Linked DNA regions of Oryctolagus cuniculus. The protein of the gene in region 1 purifies or fractionates together with the protein of each later gene. This does not show direct contact. Links are inferred from orthologs where the notes say so. Each region holds a gene or a part of one and is shown on either strand. Other genes may lie near its edges. The genes, in order: SYTL4 and RAB3A.

What was found.
Region 2: the proteins of SYTL4 (region 1) and RAB3A purify together in Homo sapiens (affinity purification with mass spectrometry; 3 studies listed by BioGRID and IntAct, counting the BioPlex papers as one, with this or other methods). This does not show direct contact. The link is inferred for Oryctolagus cuniculus from reciprocal best matches to the Homo sapiens genes SYTL4 and RAB3A.

The regions. Positions count from the first base shown.
Region 1 is NC_091453.1:92,012,982-92,016,783, forward strand, and holds part of SYTL4 (synaptotagmin-like protein 4), read left to right. Parts: intron 1-3,322; exon of another isoform or gene 3,323-3,336; 5' UTR 3,337-3,413; coding exon 3,414-3,523; intron 3,524-3,775; coding exon 3,776-3,802. UniProt on the Homo sapiens protein: Modulates exocytosis of dense-core granules and secretion of hormones in the pancreas and the pituitary. Interacts with vesicles containing negatively charged phospholipids in a Ca(2+)-independent manner.
Region 2 is NC_091447.1:65,551,265-65,555,820, reverse strand, and holds the start of RAB3A (ras-related protein Rab-3A), read left to right. Parts: upstream 1-1,680; 5' UTR 1,681-1,840; intron 1,841-2,627; coding exon 2,628-2,855; exon of another isoform or gene 2,856-3,132; coding exon of another isoform or gene 3,133-3,174; intron 3,175-3,685; coding exon 3,686-3,804; intron 3,805-4,329; coding exon 4,330-4,454; intron 4,455-4,556. Other genes in the region: MPV17L2 (mpv17-like protein 2), read right to left, coding at 3,133-3,174. UniProt on the Homo sapiens protein: The small GTPases Rab are key regulators of intracellular membrane trafficking, from the formation of transport vesicles to their fusion with membranes.

The DNA.
Region 1 (3,802 bases):
TGCTGTGTGCCTGTGCTCTGCTTGGTGTTTTGCTGCCAGGCAACTAGTTGTATCTCTTTTATATAGGAACTGCTGATTTTCCAGTGCTTCATCCATAATTATACATTTAGGAATTCATTTCCACAGTACTTTGATTATTTAATATTTTACAGCTGCCCTAGCCATGATCCTGCCTAGACAGAGTCAGTAGAGTACCAGCTCTAGAATCAGATTGCCTAGGCTTCCCTCCCAGCAACTTCTCTTAGTTGCTATTTCTTCCGTTACGTTAGGCTAACCTCTCCTGAATCCTCATCAATACAATGGGGATAGTAATAGTCACTCACCCTCAGTGTTGTTGGGAGGATTAAGTTAATCATTATATATATGCAAAGTACTTATTTAGCGTGTAGTAATATGTGGCACTGTTGGAATGGTGATGACAGTGATGGTGTTCATCTATATTGGCAGCATATGTGGCACCATTTGCCAGATAATGTGTGTTAGGTGCTGGGCCAGAGATGATATTGAAAAGGTCCTTGTTTCCGTTGCAAGTATACAAGGGTACATCAAAAAGATCACAGGAAATAGTTAAAAGATAAGTTTATTTTGTGGTAAAAATATTGAAATCTGGCCGGCGCTGCGACTCACTAGGCTAATCCTCCGCCTAGTGGCGCCGGCACACCGGGTTCTAGTCCCGGTTGGGGCGCCGGATTCTGTCCTGGTTGCCCCTCTTCCAGGCCAGCTCTCTGCTGTGGCCAGGGAGTGCAGTGGAGGATGGCCCAGGTGCTTGGGCCCTGCACCCCATGGGAGACCAGGAAAAGCACCTGGCTCCTGGCTCCTGGCTCCTGCCATCGGATCAGCGCGGTGCGCCGGCCGCAGCGCGCCAGCCACGGTGGCCATTGGAGGGTGAACCAACGGCAAAGGAAGACCTTTCTCTCTGTCTCTCTCTCTCACTGTCCACTCTGCCTGTCAAAAAATAAAAAAAAAATTGAAATCTATTCATAGTTTTTTCAGTAACATGCATTTTCATGAACTTTTTGCAGGACCCTTATATATTTTCCTTGAGGATAAGAACTAAGAAGATTTCCTGAAGATTATCTAATAAAGGACCTATGAAACATGATTACCTTCTTATAGTTCAATAAAGACCAAGAAATAGTCAAGTTGAGAACACACTGCAGTTTTAAGAACCTGGAATGCTTTGCTATCCTCTTTGTGCTCTTTATTGTCTTTCTTGTATTTAGTAAAACAAAATTAAAAAAAAACTGAAAGGATGTTGTTTAGTTTCAAGGTAGAACATGGAAGGGGAATACAATCCCTGTTTCCTTTCTCACTTTGTCTACCCTAGTCTCTTTGACACCCATGACTACCAAATCTCTGTCTTCAAATACAGTTTCTCTTCCTGAGGCCCAGCCCTGTGTTTCCAGCTACTCCCTGAGCCTAATTATCTGGCTATTCTGCATGCAACATAAACTCAATGTGGCTAAAATTAGACCCCTTGCCTGCTCTTAAGGCTAATTCTTCTCTTCTATTTCTTGTTCCTTTGAGGGCTAAACATCTTTGACTTCACCTCTTCATCTTCTCCACTCAGTCACTCCATTATGTCAATTTTACTTTTCAAACCTATTCTGTGTTTGGTTTTGCTGCCTTGGCTCACACCTTTATCATTTTAGCAGACACAAAAAGTATTTGTAATTCAAGCATGTGTTCCAGACATTGTGATTGGCCCTTTAACACACATTATTTTTCTTGACGACTTTGTGAGGTAGATCATTTTGAGGATGAGAAACCATAGGGAACAGAAATAAGATCACTCATCCAAGTGATTAGTGGCACAGGTAGTAATCTAGGTTGTTTGTTGCTTGGACGATTGCCATAATCTCCTTGTGTCCCTCGAAATGTATTTTTTTGAAATATAAAAGGAAGACGTGTAAAAACAAATCAGAACTATATAAAATAAAAAGTGAAAATTGCCCCATCCTAATTCTGCCCAAAGAGATACCAATGGTATATAATAGTTTTTTTCCTAGGCCTTTCTCTTTGCCTATACAAATGTTAAAATAAATACTTTATGAAATACGTCATTTGACATATCTATTTTTTAAAGATTTATGTATTTATTTGAAAGAGTTACAGAGAGAGGGAGAGAGAGAGGGAGGGGAGAGAGAGAGATCAATCGATCAATTGATCAATCTTCCATCCATTGGTTAACATCCTAAATGGTCACAATGGCAAGGATTGGGCAAGGATTGGGCAAGGCTGAAGCCAGGAACCAGGAATCCCATCCAGGTCTCCTAAATGGGTGGCAGGGGCCCAAGCTTGTGAGCCATCATGTACTGCTATTTCTGGCATTGCAGGTGGCAGCTTAACCTCTGAGCAATAACGCTGGCCCCTCTTAGATATTTTTAAAGATCTTTTGTTTATTTATTTAAAATGCAGAGCATCAGAGAGAGAGAGAGAGAGAGAGAGAATGAATATGAATCTTTCATCCTCCAGTTTACTCCCCAAACGGCTGTAACAGTCAGAACTGGGCCAGGCCAAAGTCAGGAGCCTTGAATTCCATCTGGGCCTACCATGTGAGTGGCAGGGGCCCAATCACTTGGGCCATCTTGTGATGCTTTCCTAGGGGCATTAACAGACTGCTGGACCAGAAATGGAGCATCCGGGACTTGAACTGGTGCTCATATGTGATGTCAGTGGCACAGGTGGTGGCCTAACCCACTGTGCTGGGAACTGTGTCTTAATAAGCTCTGTATTCAAAGAACTTTGCACAATACCTTTCATTTAATGGGGCTTGACAAATGTTTATGAAATGGGGCAGACTTTCTTGAGGTAGTGTGAGTGCAATAAAAACTTTGTGGCGCAGTAGGTGGTGAAAATTTTTGAAGTATAGTGGAAAGCTGACTGAATCCTGGGAGCATGGAAGCTGATCAGGAATGAGAAGTAGACCTAAATTGACAAGAGTTCTCCTGTGCTTTTCCCTTCTCCTACAGAGACCAGCTTCTTGATTATTTAGGTTAATAGACTTAGGAGTTGAGCATATTTAAAGAAATAAAAATTGGATGGTTGAGGATGCATTTAGTGGAGGGGGAGTTTGACTGAATTGTTCTTTGCTCTTTCCAGAATAAGATGCTTATAATGAAAGATCCAGTCCTTTCCCAGAGTCATAAATAGATTTTTTCTTCTTGAAAAATAAAAACCTTTTCATTTTCAGGGTATGATTCAAGTGAAGTCGGAATGCAAATACGTCTGATACTTCTAGTTTGTTTCTTTAGCCTATAGTCTACTGGAAGGTTCTAGGGCTGTGAGCCTGTTCTGGAGTAAGTCATTTGTGTGAAATTAGTTCTCTCGTTTCAGGCAACTCTGGTGCTCTCCCTGTCTGGTTGCTTTGAAGAAAGAAGAGTGAACAACAACAACAACAAACAGAATAAGTCATGTCAGAGATACTAGACCTGTCTTTTCTGTCTGAGATGGAAAGGGATTTGATCCTCAGTGTTCTACAGCGAGATGAGGAGCTCCGAAAAGCAGATGAGAAAAGGATTAGGTAAGAGTATCAGAAAAAGCATGGGGGCCTCAGGCCTTTCACCAATGATAGTTGGATTTTTCCTTACGCTACCCATCTGACTTTCAGAACCTGTATATACAACACTTACAACTCCTCATTGGGTCAGGTTGGAGCTCTGAGTTTGTTGCTTTAACAGAACCAAATAGTCTTACTCCGTTTACCCCTCAAACCCTACCCAGACAACCTGTGCAGATCCTGACCCACTTATGCTTCTCTTTTGGGTCTTGGCAGGCGACTGAAGAATGAGTTACTGGAGAT
Region 2 (4,556 bases), on another chromosome or scaffold:
CCTTAGCTCGAGCTGTCCCACCCCAGGCCCTTTGCACCTGTCGCCCCCGCCCCCAAGGCGGCTCCTGCGTTCCTGAGCTCCCTGGGCAAAGCAGCCTCCCTACAAGGGTTCATTCATTCACTCACTGCGTCATTCATTCATTCCGCCCGCGCCACAGCGCTAACCACTGGCTCAGTCAGAGTCAGCGCCATCCTGTGCGGGGAGAACCGTGTGATTTCGGGGTCACGACCACCTCGGGTCCCCAGAGACGAGGGTGAGACACCAGCGACGGGCAGAGCGCCCCCACAAGCGGGCGCGGCAGGCGCAAAGGTCCTGCGGGACACGGAGCCGCTGGGGGGGGGGGCGGCTTCGGACCTGGGAACCTGCCTCTCCCCCACCTGCTGCCTCCCCACCCCCGCCAGGCAGGAGACAAACTCGGGGCCCCCCTCCCCGTCTGCCAGCCTTGCCAGCCACCGCTTCTATTTTTACATCCACACACGGGGTGCTGTGGTCTCGTGACTGCTTCCCCCGGGGGACTCAGAGCCCCACACACCCCGCCTAGAGCCCCCGCCCGCGCAGGGACCCGCGCACCCGCCCAGAGCCCCCCAGTGGGGGCGGGGCCCAGGGCCCCAGACGGGGAGGGGCCGGGGTCGTGACGCTCAGAGCCCGTGGGGGCACTCACACGTGACTCAGAGAAGTGAATTTCCCGGCGCGCACGCGGGGGCGCCGGGGGGGGGCAGGACTTTCCAGGCCGCGGCGCGGGGCGGGGGCGCCGGCGCTGTGTCGGGAACAGGGCGAGTGCCCCCCAGCCCCAGCCCATCTCCGCTCCAGTTTTGGGCAAGGGAGGGGCCGGGGGGTCCTGGGGACCCGGGACGGGGCGGGGGTCAGAGGGTGGCACCAGCGGGCCCGGAACGGAGCGGGGGCCCTGCCGCCGACCCCGCAGCGAGAGCAGAGCCGAGGGCGCCCCCGCCCTCCGCCCTCCGCCCGGCCCTGGGTTCTCGGTAGCGGGGAGGGGTCACCTGGCCCCCGACCCACGCTGGCTGGGGATCTCCACCGCGGGTCTGGGGGTCCCGGGCACTGAGCCCCGCCCATTCTGTTTCCTGCTCGAGACGGGGCGCGCCGGGGGAGGGATTCGCCGGCGGCCCCCCTCCCCGGGGGTCTTCAGGTCGGGGACCGCGCGAGGGGCTGTCCGACGAGCCCCTTCCTCTTTTAGCTTCTCAGGAACCCCCAGACGCAAGGGCGGGGCACGAGGGTCTCCCGGGCCCCGGTTCCGCTTTCCTGAAATTCAGGAGACGGGGCTCCTAACGAGAAGTCGCCGCACCGCGGACCCGGCAGGGGCAGCCCCGACGCCCCCCGACCTGGGGTGGGCGCGGCCGGGAAGGGAACCGCCCCCCCAGAGACCCCTTCAACCGCCTGGGATCCCTCCATTGGCCAGGGGGACGGCGTCTGCGAAGCTCATTGGCTTGCTGGTCCGTCACTGCACCTCTTAGCCAATGAGCTGACGCCAAGCAGCCCCGCCTTCCTGAGGGAGGTGAGAGGCGGGACCTGCTTCCCCGATTGGACGCGCGCGCCGGGCCACGCCCACTTCTCGCGTCCATCTGCACGGCAGCCCCGCCCCTCCCGGCTCTGCCTGCGTCCGGGAGCCGCAGCCGCCGGCCCGACCCCGCCTCTGGTGGCGTCACGGCTGTATCTGCATGCGAGGCCCCGCCCCGCTCTTTGCAGGACGTCACGGAGGACTGCAGGGGCCTCAGCCACCGCCGCCGCCGCCGCCGGGCAGCCCCGCACGCTCTCCGCGCCCCGGTCCCGCAGCTGCCGCCCCGCGCTCCGCCTAGGGGTATCCGCCGCGCCGGTGCAGGGCGAGGTGAGCCCCCGGCGGCCCCGAGCCTCGGCGCCCCGCGCCGCTGAACCCTCACGTGACTGACAGGCGGGTGGCGGTGGGGAGGGGGCGGGGGAAGGCGCGTGGGGGCGGGGAGGGTGCGGGGCCGCGGGCCCGGGGGTCCCCCGCCGCCGCCCGAGCCTCGCTCCCCCACCCCCGGGCGCTGCGGCGAGGGGGGAGGGGCGGCGAGCGCCTTGCGGGACGCTGCGCGCGGGAGGCTCTTGCGTGCGCGTGCGCGAGGTGTGCACCTGCGTGTGCGCGCCCGCCTACCCTGGCGCGGGAGCCTGGGTTTGCCGGCATACGGGCCGCACGCGTGTGCAGAGAGCCGCGTGCACGCCCGAGGGTCCACGTTCCTGTGGGTCTGCGCGGCGTGAGCGCGTGCACGTCCCTTCTTTGCCCTGGCCTCGAGGTTTGGGGTTGCAGACGCGCGTCCCCGCGTGGTGGGGGTGGGGCGGTGCTGGCAGGTGCACGTGCGCCTGCGTGCCGGGGACCAGGCAAGATTGAGGGGGGGCGGCCGTAGTCACCCCCACTCAGGCTGCAGCCGTAGGTTTAGGGTTACAGCGGGACCTGGGCTGCTAGCGGGGATCCCCTGCGGTCTGCACCGGTCAAGGTCACGGCCCGCCCCCTGCTCAGGGCTCCTGCTGCCAGGGGCAGCCGAGGCCGCAGCCCCCTCCCCGAGCCCGGGGCTCCCTACCCCCGCAGCCCAGGTCTGGGTCCCCGGCAGCCCCGGCTGCAGCCAGCTCCCGCTCTCACCCCCCCCCCCCCCGCGCAGATGGCGTCGGCCACGGACTCGCGCTACGGGCAGAAGGAGCCCTCGGACCAGAACTTCGACTACATGTTCAAGATTCTCATCATCGGCAACAGCAGCGTGGGCAAGACCTCCTTCCTGTTCCGCTACGCCGACGACTCCTTCACGCCCGCCTTCGTCAGCACCGTGGGCATCGACTTCAAGGTCAAGACCATCTACCGCAACGACAAGAGGATCAAGCTGCAGATCTGGGTGCGCAGCATGCAGTAGGCGCCTACTGTGTGCCAGCCCCACGCGCTCGGCCCCCAAATGCCAGCCAGAGCTTGGGCGGGGCTCCATCCGGGTCTCCCACGGGGCAGCAGGGACCCCTGCCCCTGGGCCAGCACCTGCTGCCTCCCAGGGCGCGCATGCGCAGGGAGCTGGGCGGGAACCCAGGGATGTGGGGCCCCGCGCGGCGGTGTAACTGCTGCTCCACAGTGCTGCCTCGGTTTCCCCATCTACAAGGGCTTCCATGTGGGCTGTGTAGATTTCAGCTGGACCTTGTTCCGTGGGGCAGGTGCGCTGTGTCCACCTGTGACCGCAAACGAGAACTGTTCATCCGGGGCCAGCGCTGTGGCCTCGTTCCTAAAGCCCCCACCTGCAGCGCCCGCATCCTGTGTGGGCGCCCGTGCGAGTCCCGGCCGTTCCACTGCCCATCCAGCTCCCTGCTATGGCCTGGGGGAGCTGTGGATGATGGGCCGAGTGCCTAGGCCCCTGCACCCGTGTGGGGGACCCGGATGGAGCTCTAGAGCCGGGACTGGGCCCCAGGCACTCGGATAGGGGGCGCGGGGAGTTGCGGTGGAGTTCACTTTGGGCGCCACGCACCTGCCACCGCCCCTGAGCTGCCCTTGTCGCCTCCCACCCTAGGCCCTGGAGCAGGGCTTTGGGAGTGGTCCGTCCCCCAGGGCGGGGCTTTGGGGTGGTCCATCCCCCAGGGTGGGGCTTTGGGAGTGGTCCGTCCCCCAGGGCAGGGCTTTGGGGGTGGCCTGTCCCCCAGGGCGGGGCTTTGGGAGTAGCCCGCTCTGAGCATGCCCCTTCCCCAGGACACGGCGGGCCAGGAGCGGTACCGCACCATCACCACCGCCTACTACCGCGGCGCCATGGGCTTCATCCTCATGTACGACATCACCAACGAGGAGTCCTTCAACGCCGTGCAGGACTGGTGAGCGCGCGGGGCGGGGTCGCCTCGCTTAAGATTTACGCAGAGAGGAAGGGAAAGGGAGAGAGAGAGAGAGAGGGAGGGAGAGGGAGAGGGAGGGAAGGAGAGAGGGAGGTCGGTCTTCCGTCTGTTGGTTCACTCCCCAAATGTCTGCAATGGCCAGGGCTGGGCCAGGCTGAAGCCAGGAGCTCCATCCGGGTCACCCCCATGGGTGCAGGGGCCCAAGGGCTTGGGCCATCTTCCACTGCTCTCCCAGGCCACAGCAGAGAGCTGGATGGGAAGTGGAGCAGCCGGGACTAGAATCGGCGCCCCTGTGGGATGCAGGCACCGCAGGCCGGGGCTTTACCCGCTGCGCCCCAGTGCCGGCCCCGGGAGATGACTCAGGGTCGAAGAGGTTGCTTGAAAGGGCAGGGAACCTTCTGGAACAAGCACTGGGCAGAAGGCACAGGACTCGGGTTTCCAGGAGGGGCTGCCCAGTGTGAGGCCAGAACCGCCCAGCCCTAACTCCACCGTCACCGCCTCCTGCAGGTCCACCCAGATTAAAACCTACTCGTGGGACAACGCACAGGTGCTGCTGGTGGGGAACAAGTGTGACATGGAGGACGAGCGGGTGGTGTCCTCGGAGCGCGGCCGGCAGCTGGCCGACCACCTCGGTGAGCGCCTGCGCCGGGGCCAGTGCCGAGGCCGTGTGGGGGCTCCGGGCTCACCCTGGGACCCCCGCGGGGCCCTGGACACAGCGTGGACGCGAGGGGCTG